Linked DNA regions of Lonchura striata. The protein of the gene in region 3 binds, or shares a complex with, the protein of the main gene of each other region. Links are inferred from orthologs where the notes say so. Each region holds a gene or a part of one and is shown on either strand. Other genes may lie near its edges.

What was found.
Region 1: FAM8A1 (region 3) and HERPUD1 share a complex: the UniProt entries of both Homo sapiens proteins name them as parts of the HRD1 complex. The link is inferred for Lonchura striata from reciprocal best matches to the Homo sapiens genes FAM8A1 and HERPUD1.
Region 2: FAM8A1 (region 3) and UBE2J1 share a complex: the UniProt entries of both Homo sapiens proteins name them as parts of the HRD1 complex. The link is inferred for Lonchura striata from reciprocal best matches to the Homo sapiens genes FAM8A1 and UBE2J1.

The regions. Positions count from the first base shown.
Region 1 is NC_134615.1:17,256,740-17,260,485, reverse strand, and holds the start of HERPUD1 (homocysteine-responsive endoplasmic reticulum-resident ubiquitin-like domain member 1 protein), read left to right. Parts: upstream 1-979; 5' UTR 980-1,013; coding exon 1,014-1,145; intron 1,146-2,390; coding exon 2,391-2,468; intron 2,469-2,552; coding exon 2,553-2,627; intron 2,628-3,613; coding exon 3,614-3,735; intron 3,736-3,746. UniProt on the Homo sapiens protein: Component of the endoplasmic reticulum quality control (ERQC) system also called ER-associated degradation (ERAD) involved in ubiquitin-dependent degradation of misfolded endoplasmic reticulum proteins.
Region 2 is NC_134605.1:78,095,095-78,098,840, forward strand, and holds the start of UBE2J1 (ubiquitin-conjugating enzyme E2 J1), read left to right. Parts: upstream 1-805; 5' UTR 806-911; coding exon 912-942; intron 943-3,746. UniProt on the Homo sapiens protein: Catalyzes the covalent attachment of ubiquitin to other proteins. Functions in the selective degradation of misfolded membrane proteins from the endoplasmic reticulum (ERAD) and is essential for cells to recover from ER stress.
Region 3 is NC_134603.1:90,558,521-90,562,266, reverse strand, and holds the start of FAM8A1 (protein FAM8A1), read right to left. Parts: upstream 2,372-3,746; 5' UTR 2,361-2,371; coding exon 1,874-2,360; intron 1-1,873. UniProt on the Homo sapiens protein: Plays a role in the assembly of the HRD1 complex, a complex involved in the ubiquitin-proteasome-dependent process of ER-associated degradation (ERAD).

The DNA.
Region 1 (3,746 bases), on a different chromosome or scaffold from region 3:
CTCACTTCTGGGCGATTTTGTTGCGTCGGTCCCACGGCAGCGCTGCCCTTGGGCTCGGCTCTGCCCCGGGCAGCCGCGGGGCGATGGCAGAGCGGCTTTCCTAGTTGCAAAATCCAGTCTTGGCTGCAGACTCATCCGTGCCTTTGGGCAACAGGTCTGGCTGCCAAGGAACACTATGAGCAGCTCCTGAAACACGCAGAGTAAATGCCTGGTGCCGAGATAAACCCGACGTCTCACCTTCCTACAGCTTCGTTCGGAAGGACGCGAAAACCCCCTCCTGGCGCACCAGGATCATTACCACGGGCTTTTAACGTGCTGCAGCGCATCTCACAGGAAGATGGGCAAGAGGAGGAGCATCCAGAAGCTGCTGGTCCACATTTTTACGGCTTTTTTTTTTTTTTTTTTTTTTTTGTTAGTAAAAATGTAATGAATTATTAATTTTCCCCAGCATCTCTGCACACTTCTTTTGGTTCCACCCACAAAGTCCTGTACCCACACAAAGCCCACAGCAAACCGGCTGAGGTAGCTCACACAGATCGGGTAAAATAACCATAGGGAAAAAGGGGATGTTTCACTTGAATCAGGCTGTGCATGCAGCACGTGCAGAGCTCCACAGAGCTGTGCTGCTCCAGGGGGCGAGGGGAGAGGGAAGGCGAAGCAAGGGTCGCTGAGAGCGGTGTTGGTGCCGGAGGTGATGCGGTGGAGGGAGGTGAGGAGGGAACGACGGAGCGCGGCGGCACCGGCGCGGCCACGGCCCCTCAGGGACGGGCGGGGCGGGTCCACGGTCACCGTGGTGACCGCATAGCTCCGCCCCCCACCGGCACCACCCAATCAGCGCCTCCGTTTCCTCACGGCGTGCACGCGAGGCTCCGTCCCATTGGCCCACGTGGCAGCCCCGCCCCTTTCCTCATCGCCGCCAATCAGCCGCAGCCACCGCGGCCCTGCGGCGGGGCGGGCCCCTATAAAGCTCTGACGGGGGAGGTTTTGCAACCTCCACCCGCCCCGCGCCCGCCATGGAGGAGCCGCTGGCGCTGCTGGTGCGGAGCCCCGCGCAGCGACACCGCGACCTCCGCCTCAGCGCCCAGCCCGCCTGGACCGTGCGCCGCCTCAAGACCGAGCTGCGCCGCCTCCTGCCCGACGCGCCGGTGAGTGCGCAGTCCACTCTTCCGGGGGCTCCATGGGCGCTGCCTGGGTGGGTGGGCGGTGGGGGCTGCCTGGCTCCCTGCAGGGTAGGGCGGCGGCTGCCGTGGGATTGCCCTGGGGCCGGCGCCTGCTCCCTGGGGGCTGCCCCGGGGCCGTGCCTGCTCCCCGGGGGCTGCCCCGGGGCCGTGCCTGCTCCCCGGGGGCTGCCCCGGGGCCGTGCCTGCTCCCCGGGCTGTCCCGGTTGCGTCAGCCGCGCTTGAGGCGCGCTTGGGCTGTTCTGGGGCTGTTCGTGGCCCGGCTGTGGTTAATCATTGCCCGCCCGGCCGGCGCGTCCCGCAGCTGTGCGGGCCGGAGCCCGCTGCCCCCGGGCACCGCGCCCGGCCGGGGCCTGGCGGGGCTTTGCGGTCCCGGTCCCGCTGCGAGCGGGAGGCGCGGCGCTGCGTGGGGCTGGAATGCAGAAGTGTTGCCTTCCCCCGAGCACACGCGATGGACGCGTGAGCTGCTGCAATCGCTGCGCTCCGTGTCCCGCCGCTCCCGCGGGAGGCTCTGTGGCCTTCACAGCGCCAATAAACGTGGGAAAGACCTCCAAGTTCAACCTTCGACCCAATGCAACTATGCCTGCTAAGCCACACTGACATGCCGTGGTTGTACTCGTTTTTTCAAGAGTGCCAGGGATGCTGCCTCCATTTCAGTGCTTAGCCATTCCTTCCGTGAAGAAATTTTTCGTAACATTTCTCCAACTGGAGACTGCCCTCCAAACTTAAGGCTTGTTCTGTCACTAGTTGCTTGGAAGATTGCCCGATTCCCATGCCTTTGCCATGCTTTCCCTGGGAGTGTGGTGATTAGCCAGAAACAGGCTCCAGGTGCTTCTCCAGCTGCTGTGGGACAGATCCCAGTGAAGAGCTGCTGGGTCCCATTGGGTGAGGTGTAATAGATTTACTTGACACCACCACCTCTGGTGCTGATCAGGTTAGGTAGAACTCCGAACTTCTGTTTTTAAGAAATACAAATGGTTTTGTTGGTTCTGTAAAAGATACAGCACCTAATTAAATTCTTTGCCCAAGGGACTTTGGATTCTTATACAGGTTTGCACCTTGATATTATCCCACTCGGCATTCAGTTGTTCTCATAACTTCAGCTGAATTTAGATGTGCAGTTTAATATGTGGGATGCTGCAAGCTCCACCAGCTGTAAGCTGTGTTAATGCTTGGCAGAGCAAGTAATCCTATTCCTTGTTTTCTTCAAAGCCTGAAGAGGACCAAAAGCTGATTTATTCTGGGAAGCTGCTGCTTGATCACCACTGTCTGGGAGAATTGTTGCCAAAGGTATAAAAAAAGTCTCTTTTATGATGTGCTGAAATATATCCACAGAATGGATTTTTTTTTAACAGATCTTCCCTTAAATTTCAGCATGGGGAGGTGCATGCTTTTCACTTGGTATACAACCTCAAGACTCCTGGAAATATGCAAGGAACCAAATCAGAGGTAATTAAACTTAAGTTAACTCTGAATCTTGGGCTTGGAACTGAAAACGAGAAGTCTTGGATGACCATTTTAAGTTCCCTTTTACTGCAGGTTTTCCCTTTTAGTGCAACAGCAGCATGTTATGTTTGGGAGTGTGAGAATGTATTTGGATTACGCTGAGTAAAAAAATTGCCTCTACAGTTAATCAGTAAAGATTCTTATGGTATCTGTTGAGAAAGATCTAGTTGTGATGTGCTGCTCAGGGGAGAAATGCTTTCTGGCAGATTCAGTTTTATTAAATAGATTGACTTGCTATGTCCCAGGCATGCTTGGACAGACTGAGCTTGTGGAGGGAAGTGGTTCTGATCTGTGTGGAGAGGGAAGAAGGCTGAGAACTGCAGACACTTTAACTGCTCTCATTAATGACTCATCTTTGGCTTCCTCTCTACAGGCTCAGCCTTGGTGCTTGAGCTCAGTGTGGACTGGTCTCAAGTAAAAATGGTCAAAATCCATCCTTTCTTTAAAGGGCCTAGGCAAATGTTTCTAGAGGTGTGTGTTCCTGTTGCCCATCAAAGGCACTCTGAGCTAACCCTACCCATGCTAGATGTGAGCCAGCTTTGGCTGGGTGTCACATATATCACCACAGCACAGCTGTTGAACTGTGTGCAGCAGTTTGTGCAAGTACAAATTTGCCATTGGAAAAAGCCAAAGTGTCTTTTGTGTTTTATATCTTTATAGCCATATGGACACTGAATGTGTGCATAAGAAGTAATAAATTCAGTGTGGCTATTGTGAAAGGGAAGAGTAGCATCAAATCAGTTTTGCCTCCCAGTCATTTGGTTCCAGGAGGTTTAAAATACTGATGGAGGTGCTTGTGGTGTGGCACTGAGAGGTGCTGTGCAGGAATAGGTGTTAAAACAAGGGCATACTTTGTGGGGTGCAGACTTTTTGCATAAAGTGTGTGTGCTGTCCTGAGTAAACCTCACTGGCTGCCCTGCTGTCTGTAGGTTAAAGCTGATCAGCCCACGTTATCATCAGAAGCCAGGCAGGAATCCAATGTGTCTTCCTCAAATGGTGGAAGGTTGAGGAGCTCTTCAGGTGTCCACTCTTCAGCAGAAGCCAGTAATGGGTAAATACAAT
Region 2 (3,746 bases), on a different chromosome or scaffold from region 3:
GATGCCTTGTAATACTGAAAGAGAACATGATGGGGTGAAAAATATGTACCTACTCAAATGTTTTTATTTACAACTGTTTGCCACTGCTGTTCAATCAAAGTGGGGAAAAGAGAACTAAGACACCAAAACAAAAAAATTAATTTGTAAAGGAGGATTATGAAGAATATAAAATATGAAATTAAAAACAATTAGTTTCATAGGTTAAGTACAATATGAGCTAGATATGAGCTTCAAATTTATGCTGAAGAAAAGAGAGGTTGTTTTTTATTTCAGTTTGTACTGAAACAAAAGGAAATGGTGACTATTGAGATTTTCTCTTAGCCATATGTTCTTTTAGAAGTTCCATCCCAATTGTATTACACCTATAACAAGGTGGAAGAGATACAGTTGTAGATGTAAGTATCTCTCTGTCACTGTGGTATGGCAAAGGTGGCAATCAAGTCAAGCTCTTGCTGATAATTCTTGCCTAAAATAATAACCATTGACATATGACGCCATTTCAGTCTTTCGAGATCCTGAAAACCAACAACCAAGGTGCTACCAACTCTTACAGCGAAGTCTGTTGGGCGTGGAGTGTCTCGGGTCTGTGGGTTCCTGGGAGCCCCTTTTCCAAGCCCCAGTTTTCAGACCCACCGAGGCCGCGGGCACCTCGCCCCATCCCCTCTGCGGGCGCTCTTCCCTCGCGCAGCCCCCGCGGCCCGGCCGCCGCCGCAGCGCGGCCCCTCCGCCGCTGTCCGGGCGGCGCCGGCGCGGCAGGCGCCTCCCCCCGCGGTCACGGCGGGGCTGTCGCCGCCGCTGCCACGTCAGGGGAGTGTCCCGGGCCGGGCCGGGCCGGGCCGGGGCCGGCCTTCCTCCTCCGCCCCCTGCCCCCGCCGCCGGAGCCGCGGAGAGAGCGAGCGGTGCGCGCTGCCATGGAGGCCCGGTACAACCTCAAGAGCCCGGGTAGGCGGCGGCCGCGCCTTTACGGGCCGGGGCTGCCGCCGCGGCTGCCGCCGGGGCCGGGGCCGCGGCGGGGAGGAGGGCCGGGGCCGCGGCGGTGGCGGTGGGCTCCTGCGCCGGGGCGGAGGCCGGCCGGGTTCGGTTCTCCTTCGCGGTGCGATGGCGTTGAAACCTCCCTCCGAGCTGTAATTCGGTTCGAAGCACCCTGACCGCCGGGTCTGGACGTGTCTGTGTGCCCACGCGCGTTGGTGGTTCGTGGACACGTACCCCTGAACGCTTAGTCAGGTGGCCGTGCCCCGTTCCCCCGGGCATCGCCTGCTCTCCGAATGGGTGCGTGTGAGGGCACGGCTCGCCAAGGGTAACTTGGCCCCTGTGGCGTCAGTTTGTTTTGCAGAAGTGTTGCTGTACAGGCTCCGTGTACTTGCGTGTCTGTGTTTGTTCACATGTTTGGTTTGACATGTTACAATTCATGCCTATAAGTCCTGGGCTTTCTTTTGAATCCTTGAAGTGAGAGAGACGCCTCGAGAGATGTGGAGAAAACAGCGCTGGAAGGGAAGGTTTTGGTTCCTCGGAAGCAGCGAGCAGGCCGTGTCTCCCCGCGTGGCTGTGCCGGAGCAGCGGTCTCTGACCGGCTGTGCCAGGGCTTCACCCGGGGAGCGGCCTGCACAGCCGGAGGCCCGGCTGACCCTGCCGAGGCAAAGCCTCTCCCGCAGCTCCTGAGGCCTGGGAGGCTTTGTGTGAGGGCTGCTGTCCCGCCCCTGCTTTCGCCTGGCCGGGTGTTGAGAAATAGGCATTATCCGCTTCATGATATTGTGATGAATAGTAGCTTTATTTTTTAATCATACCGTCCTGTTACCAGCATGTGAGGTGGGGAGAAACTGAATCTTATGATGACTTGTACCTTATAAATGTCAGTGACATGCTTTGTTTACAAACATACCTCATGCGGATGATGGGTCTATTGTTAAATTGTGTCCCTTAGCCTCACACCCAGGTTGCATAACTGGAAGATAAGAAGGATCACTAAGCAAATTATTAACTTGTTGTCATTTAAAATGTCAGAAAGGAATACTCTTTTTTGGGGAGATATGCAGGATGTGTGGCATATGTGAATTTAGAAGGCCACACAAACATGCTCACTGGTTGCGGTTTGCCACGTCATGGGAAATAGTGGTGGTGTGCTGTATGACAAGCACCTGGGACCTGGGTGGAGAGGAGAAGTATTTGTGACTTAATTTAGAAATGTTCTTCCCCTTTGTTATTACTTGTCCCCCCTGTATTCAAGAGAAAATTACCTTTACTGGAATTGATTTTCAGCACCTGTTGGTGCAGAAAATCAGCTGGAACCAGCTGTTCCATAGCAAAATAAACTTTGTGGGGTAAAGATAAATAATTCATACAATGGCTTAATATTATTTCTCCAAATTAAGCATGTTTGGTTCCATGTTAATTTATTAAACTATTTCTTTCTATATAGCTAGTGAAAGTTTGTAAATTATATAAATAACTTAAAAAATTTCTATAATAATTTAAAACATTGATTTCAATAGTCAATATGCGTGAAGTTGTTCACTGAACAGATGGGCAAAAAGGTGTTGAATAAATATAAACAAATATTTTAAATAAATATTGTTTCTTTACAGTTGCACATTAAAATGAGTTGACAGTAATTATGTATAGCCACTGCTTGTAGTCTGGCACTTTAGTTGCTAACCTGGTAGATGAGCATATGCAATTATTTAATATTTCTGTGTGTTTTACAAATTCCTATCTTGTTCCAGTTACCTGTGCACTTTAGTGGTGGTATCTTACTCTTGCCATTCGACTGAAGGTTAACAATGGAACTGTAGAATATTCTAATATTAAGGTTTCAATTAATGTAAAGGCACTAAAATACATAAAAAGAAGTCCACTGTATTTTCTATTTCAAGGGGTTGTGTCATGTGTGGACTGAAGGGATTACTTTGGTAACTGAGCCCTCTAGGGCTTTAGAACAAGTAGCTGTCCTTGTGCCTGTTGTTGCTTTGCCTTTAATAGAGGAAGAACCAAGATGCTAACCTTTAGGTCAGCTTTAGGGATTTGGAACATGCTATCTTGAGACAGAATAGAAAAAGTAATGGCTTTGTACCTGTACAAGATGCTTCTACTGCTGAAATCTGCTTTTGGACTTGAGCAAACTGCAAACGGTGATTTTGTCTGCTCAGTATATTTTAAAAGGGCAAATTCTACTAACCCTTTTAGTATAAGTTGCCTTAATGTAATGGTGTAGATGAAAATACATTTTAAGTAGGAAAATGTTGTTAAAAGAAACATGTGCCTTTATAGCAGAATTTGGCTTAAAATAAAGATCTATAGAGTTGTGAAGGAGCTGAAGTTCATCTGTGGTTGACACCTGGATCCCTCTTCTGTGAATGTGCTACACCAGACTGGTGAGTGGGGATCATTTAGGTTCTCCATTGCTGTACTTTGTGTGCTCTCAAGCAGGCCACAGAAGAGCAGTATTGCTACACATCTTTGTCCTGCTGCAAATTGCTCCTAGGCAATGTGTTTATCTTCTTCATTATCCCTGTTTTTACAACCAGTGAGCTCATCCCAGCATATCTGAAAGATGGGAACTCTCCACAACACAAAGCAAGCCGTTCCCCTGCACACCACATCTCTGTTGATGAGAGGCAGTGCAGCTCTGGCCCGTCTCAGTTTGCCATAAGTACAGGCCATGGGCAGTGCAGGTCTGGGATGGCAAAGCAGCTCCTGTCACTTGCCCACTGTAAGAGCAAGGAGCCATGGGAGCATTCACCTGGTGCTGT
Region 3 (3,746 bases):
CATCACATTAAGAAACCTTGGCAACCCTTAGACTCTGGCAGATTTACATTGCAGTGATTCAAGCTGTTCATCATACCAAAAATCCACTCTTTTGCCAAGGGTTACTATTTATTCAGCAAGGCCAGCCAAATGCAACATCCATCTAGTTCAATGTCTAGGATATTGCATCCACATAGTGCTTAAGAGGGGTTTGCACCAGTCAGCCACAGGGCAACTGGGGCCTGGATGCACCCTTTGCCCTACTGTTCCCAGCAGATGAGCAGTATCTCCTGCACTAAGGCAGGGAGGGACCAGGCAAGAAGTATCTTAGATCATGGTGTCTGTCCACGAAGAGCCTGCCACTGCCCAGAGTGCTGTTAAATTTTACTGCTCTGACACACACCTGCAGGCAGACTGAAGTGGCAAAGGCAGTTAACAATCCCACTTTTTGACATCCCAGTTTGAAATTTGCAACATTAGCATAAGCTGTCACTTATTTCAGTTTATGTAAGCACACGGGCTGTAAACTGCAGTGGCACAGGGACAGATACACGACCTGCCCTGCCTCGCCTTGCTGCTGTGTGGGCAGTAATCTACAGCAGAGAAGGAGCCATAATCCCTTTAGCTGTTCCAGATATATCCATCTGTAGCCAAAGCATCAGCACCACAGTCTTTGTTTATAACTGTATTGTATTACTGCATCACATACCTAGTCACCCAAGAAGGCCAAGCGTGTTGCAATAGTATGCAATATTCAGAATAACCATGTTCAGCATCATGAAATGTTATTCATGCCCTAAATAACCTTTAACATATGGAATTAGCTCCTGATAAACCAGCAAAATTCCAAGAATCATTTCAGCCTAGCCTTTGTCCAACCCTCCCTTTAATGACTGGTAATATCTGTTCATAACCAAACTATAATAGAATCAGGGCATAATTACAGAAAATACTATTTTGTCTCCTAACCATGTTTAAAAAACATCTACCTAAACTCATAAGAAAGAGGCAAGCTCAGAGGCTAGGCTCCCTTCCCTTGAAAATAAGGAAAAAGGAACAAAAAACATCTTCCACACACATATGGCCACTAGGCTTATAAATAATGTCACAGATCGTCAGTGTCGTACTTTGTCCTGCAGACAGAAACGAGCTCTGGCTTTTTTCCAAAGTCCGTCAGCAGTCCTCTCCTCCACAATTTTCTACCATTGCTCACAGTGGTACGAACATTCAAGGAATGTGACCTAGGCACTCCTCGACTTGTGAGGAGTTGTTGCTGCTCCAGGTTTTACCTCTCATGTGATCAGAGTGAGTTTGCTTTATTCCTGAAAAATATAAACAGAAGGCCTGCTGTGCACTGCCTTCAATGTTTACAGCTGTAACAGACGTTTGTTTATCTCGGGTCCCACTGCCTAAGTTTGTTCAATGTCAGCATGTTTTCACTTCTCTGCTTCGATTAGACAAAATTATTTCATTTGAGTACCAACAGCTCACTGAAACAGGCAAAGTTAGTTTAGATTTCATAACACAGACGGGCTGCTCATAAAGCTAGATGCACTACAAGCCTGTAACCAGAAGAATAATTTCCACTAGAAAAAAAAAATAAACTCCTTCCTAAGCACAAAAACATCTTTACAAGCACTGAAGCTGTAAGCTGCATATGCCAGTCAATCTCCCCAAACCTGCTTATGCATCAGGTTCTGGATTTACACCTCGGTATTAGGGCTGTCACCCTGTGTCACAAGGCACAGCCACATGCCCGGGGCCGCAGCCAACGGAAGCGCAGCCACTCCCAACGTCGCACACCCCCGGCTTCCCTCTCCAGAACCCGCTTCCCGGAGCCGCGGCTCTCATCAGGCTCCTGCTCCTCCCCAGGCCCAGCCCCGGCCCCACTCACCCGCCGGCCGCCCCGCGTCCCGGGAGGCGCCGCTGCCGCCGCTGCCGGCGGCGCTGCCGGCGGCCGCCCTGGGCAGGGGCGACACCGCGCCCGCCGCTCCCGGCCAGGCTGGGGCGGCAGCGCCGGGGCCGCGGGGTCCCGTCCCGGCGGAGGCCGCGTGTGCTGGCGGCGGAGCGAAGAGGTAGAAGGGGCTGTAATAGGCAGAGGCGGCGGGCGGGGGCGGCTGCGCGGCGGCGGCGGCGAGGAAGGCGGGCGTGCAGCCCTGCCAGCACAGGTACCCGCAGTACGAGTCCCACAGCCACTGGTGTACGCGCCGCGCGTACTCCGCCGCGCTCAGTGGCTTCGTCCCGCCCCCCTCCGGAGGGGAGCACGGCGGTGGCGAGGACGCGGCGTTGGCGGTGGCTGCCTCCTCTCCGGCGGCGCTGCCTCCCTCCGCCATCGCCGCCGCCCCAGCGCCAGCCCGGCCGCGCTCCGCCGCCTCCTCCATCGCGGCGGTCACTGAGCCTTCACCGCGCGTGCGTCGGGACGCGCCTCGCCTCTCCCACTTATCGCGGCTGAGTGGGGGGGAAGAGCCTGACGAGGCGAGCCCCGCGCCCGGGGAGAAACAGCACAACCCACAGCTTCCCCCCCGCCCCCGCCACGAGATGGTAGCGCCGAACGCTGAGGCAGCGGCCGCTGCCCCGGCGCGCGGACGGGGCGGTTGCCGGAGCGCCTCACGGTGCGCGTTCTGCGGTTTTATTTTCTTGTATTGGTCTCGTGGGTTTTTTTCTTCCTCTATCTCCCCCTTTTCATCTTTTCCCCTATCACATATCGTGTTCGTCCTCTGAAAAAAAGGAAAAAAACCTACCCAAAACAAAAACAAGCACTCACAAACAAAACCAAAACAGACAAACCCCCCACAATCCACAGAGTAATTTTGGTTGGAAAAGACCTCTGTCATCGAGTCCAGCCTGTGACTGAACATCGCCGTGTCAACTAGACCAGGGCACTGAGTGCCACCCCCAGGCACGGTGACCCCACCACCTCCCTGGGCGGCTCATTCCAATGTCTAATCACCTTTTCTGCGAATAAATTCTTCCTAATGTCCAGCCTGAAACTCTCCGGAGCAGAGGCCGACCCCCACCTGGCTACAGCCTCCTTCAGGGAGTTATGGAGAGCGGTAAGGTCACCCTTGAGCCTCCTCCACGCTAAACACCCTCAGCTCCCTCAGCCGCTCCTCAGAGCACTTGATCCCCTCAAATGCTGAATAAAGAGCCAGCAGCAAGGTTAAACACAGTTCTTCTAACTAACTTCCAGTCTTTAAGGTTTCTGTGTTCTGTTAAGCATCTCAACCAGACCAAGAGTTCTGTCTGAACAGAGGTGTTAACACAGGTCAATACTGAATTAACAAGTAATACATATTGTGAACCTGGAATGTTTCCCGTGTTGAAGACAACGCCACAGCTGAACAAAACCAGAAGTTTCTCCCTCTCCCTGGTGAACTATTTTCCCACTTAACCTCACCTAATTTTAAAAAATGAAGTAATTTCATAAAATCATAGACTCATAGAATGGCCTGGTTTGGAATGAACCTTAAAGATCCCTGCCCCATGGGCAGGGACAGCTTCCACTAGGCTATGTGGCTCCAAACCCCATCCAACCTGGCCTTGAACATTTCCAGGGGTGGGGCATCCACAGCTTCTGTGGCAGACTGTTCCACTGCCTCACCACCCTCACAGTAAAGATTTTTTCCTGTGTATCTAACAGAAATTTCCACTCTTTCTGTCCCAGAAGTTTGTGTGGAGTGAGTCTCTAATACAAGCAAGCTGAGATGAATTGCCTAAGTGATGATCAAATAGTGACCCGTACAATATAATGCAGTTATGTAAGGTGC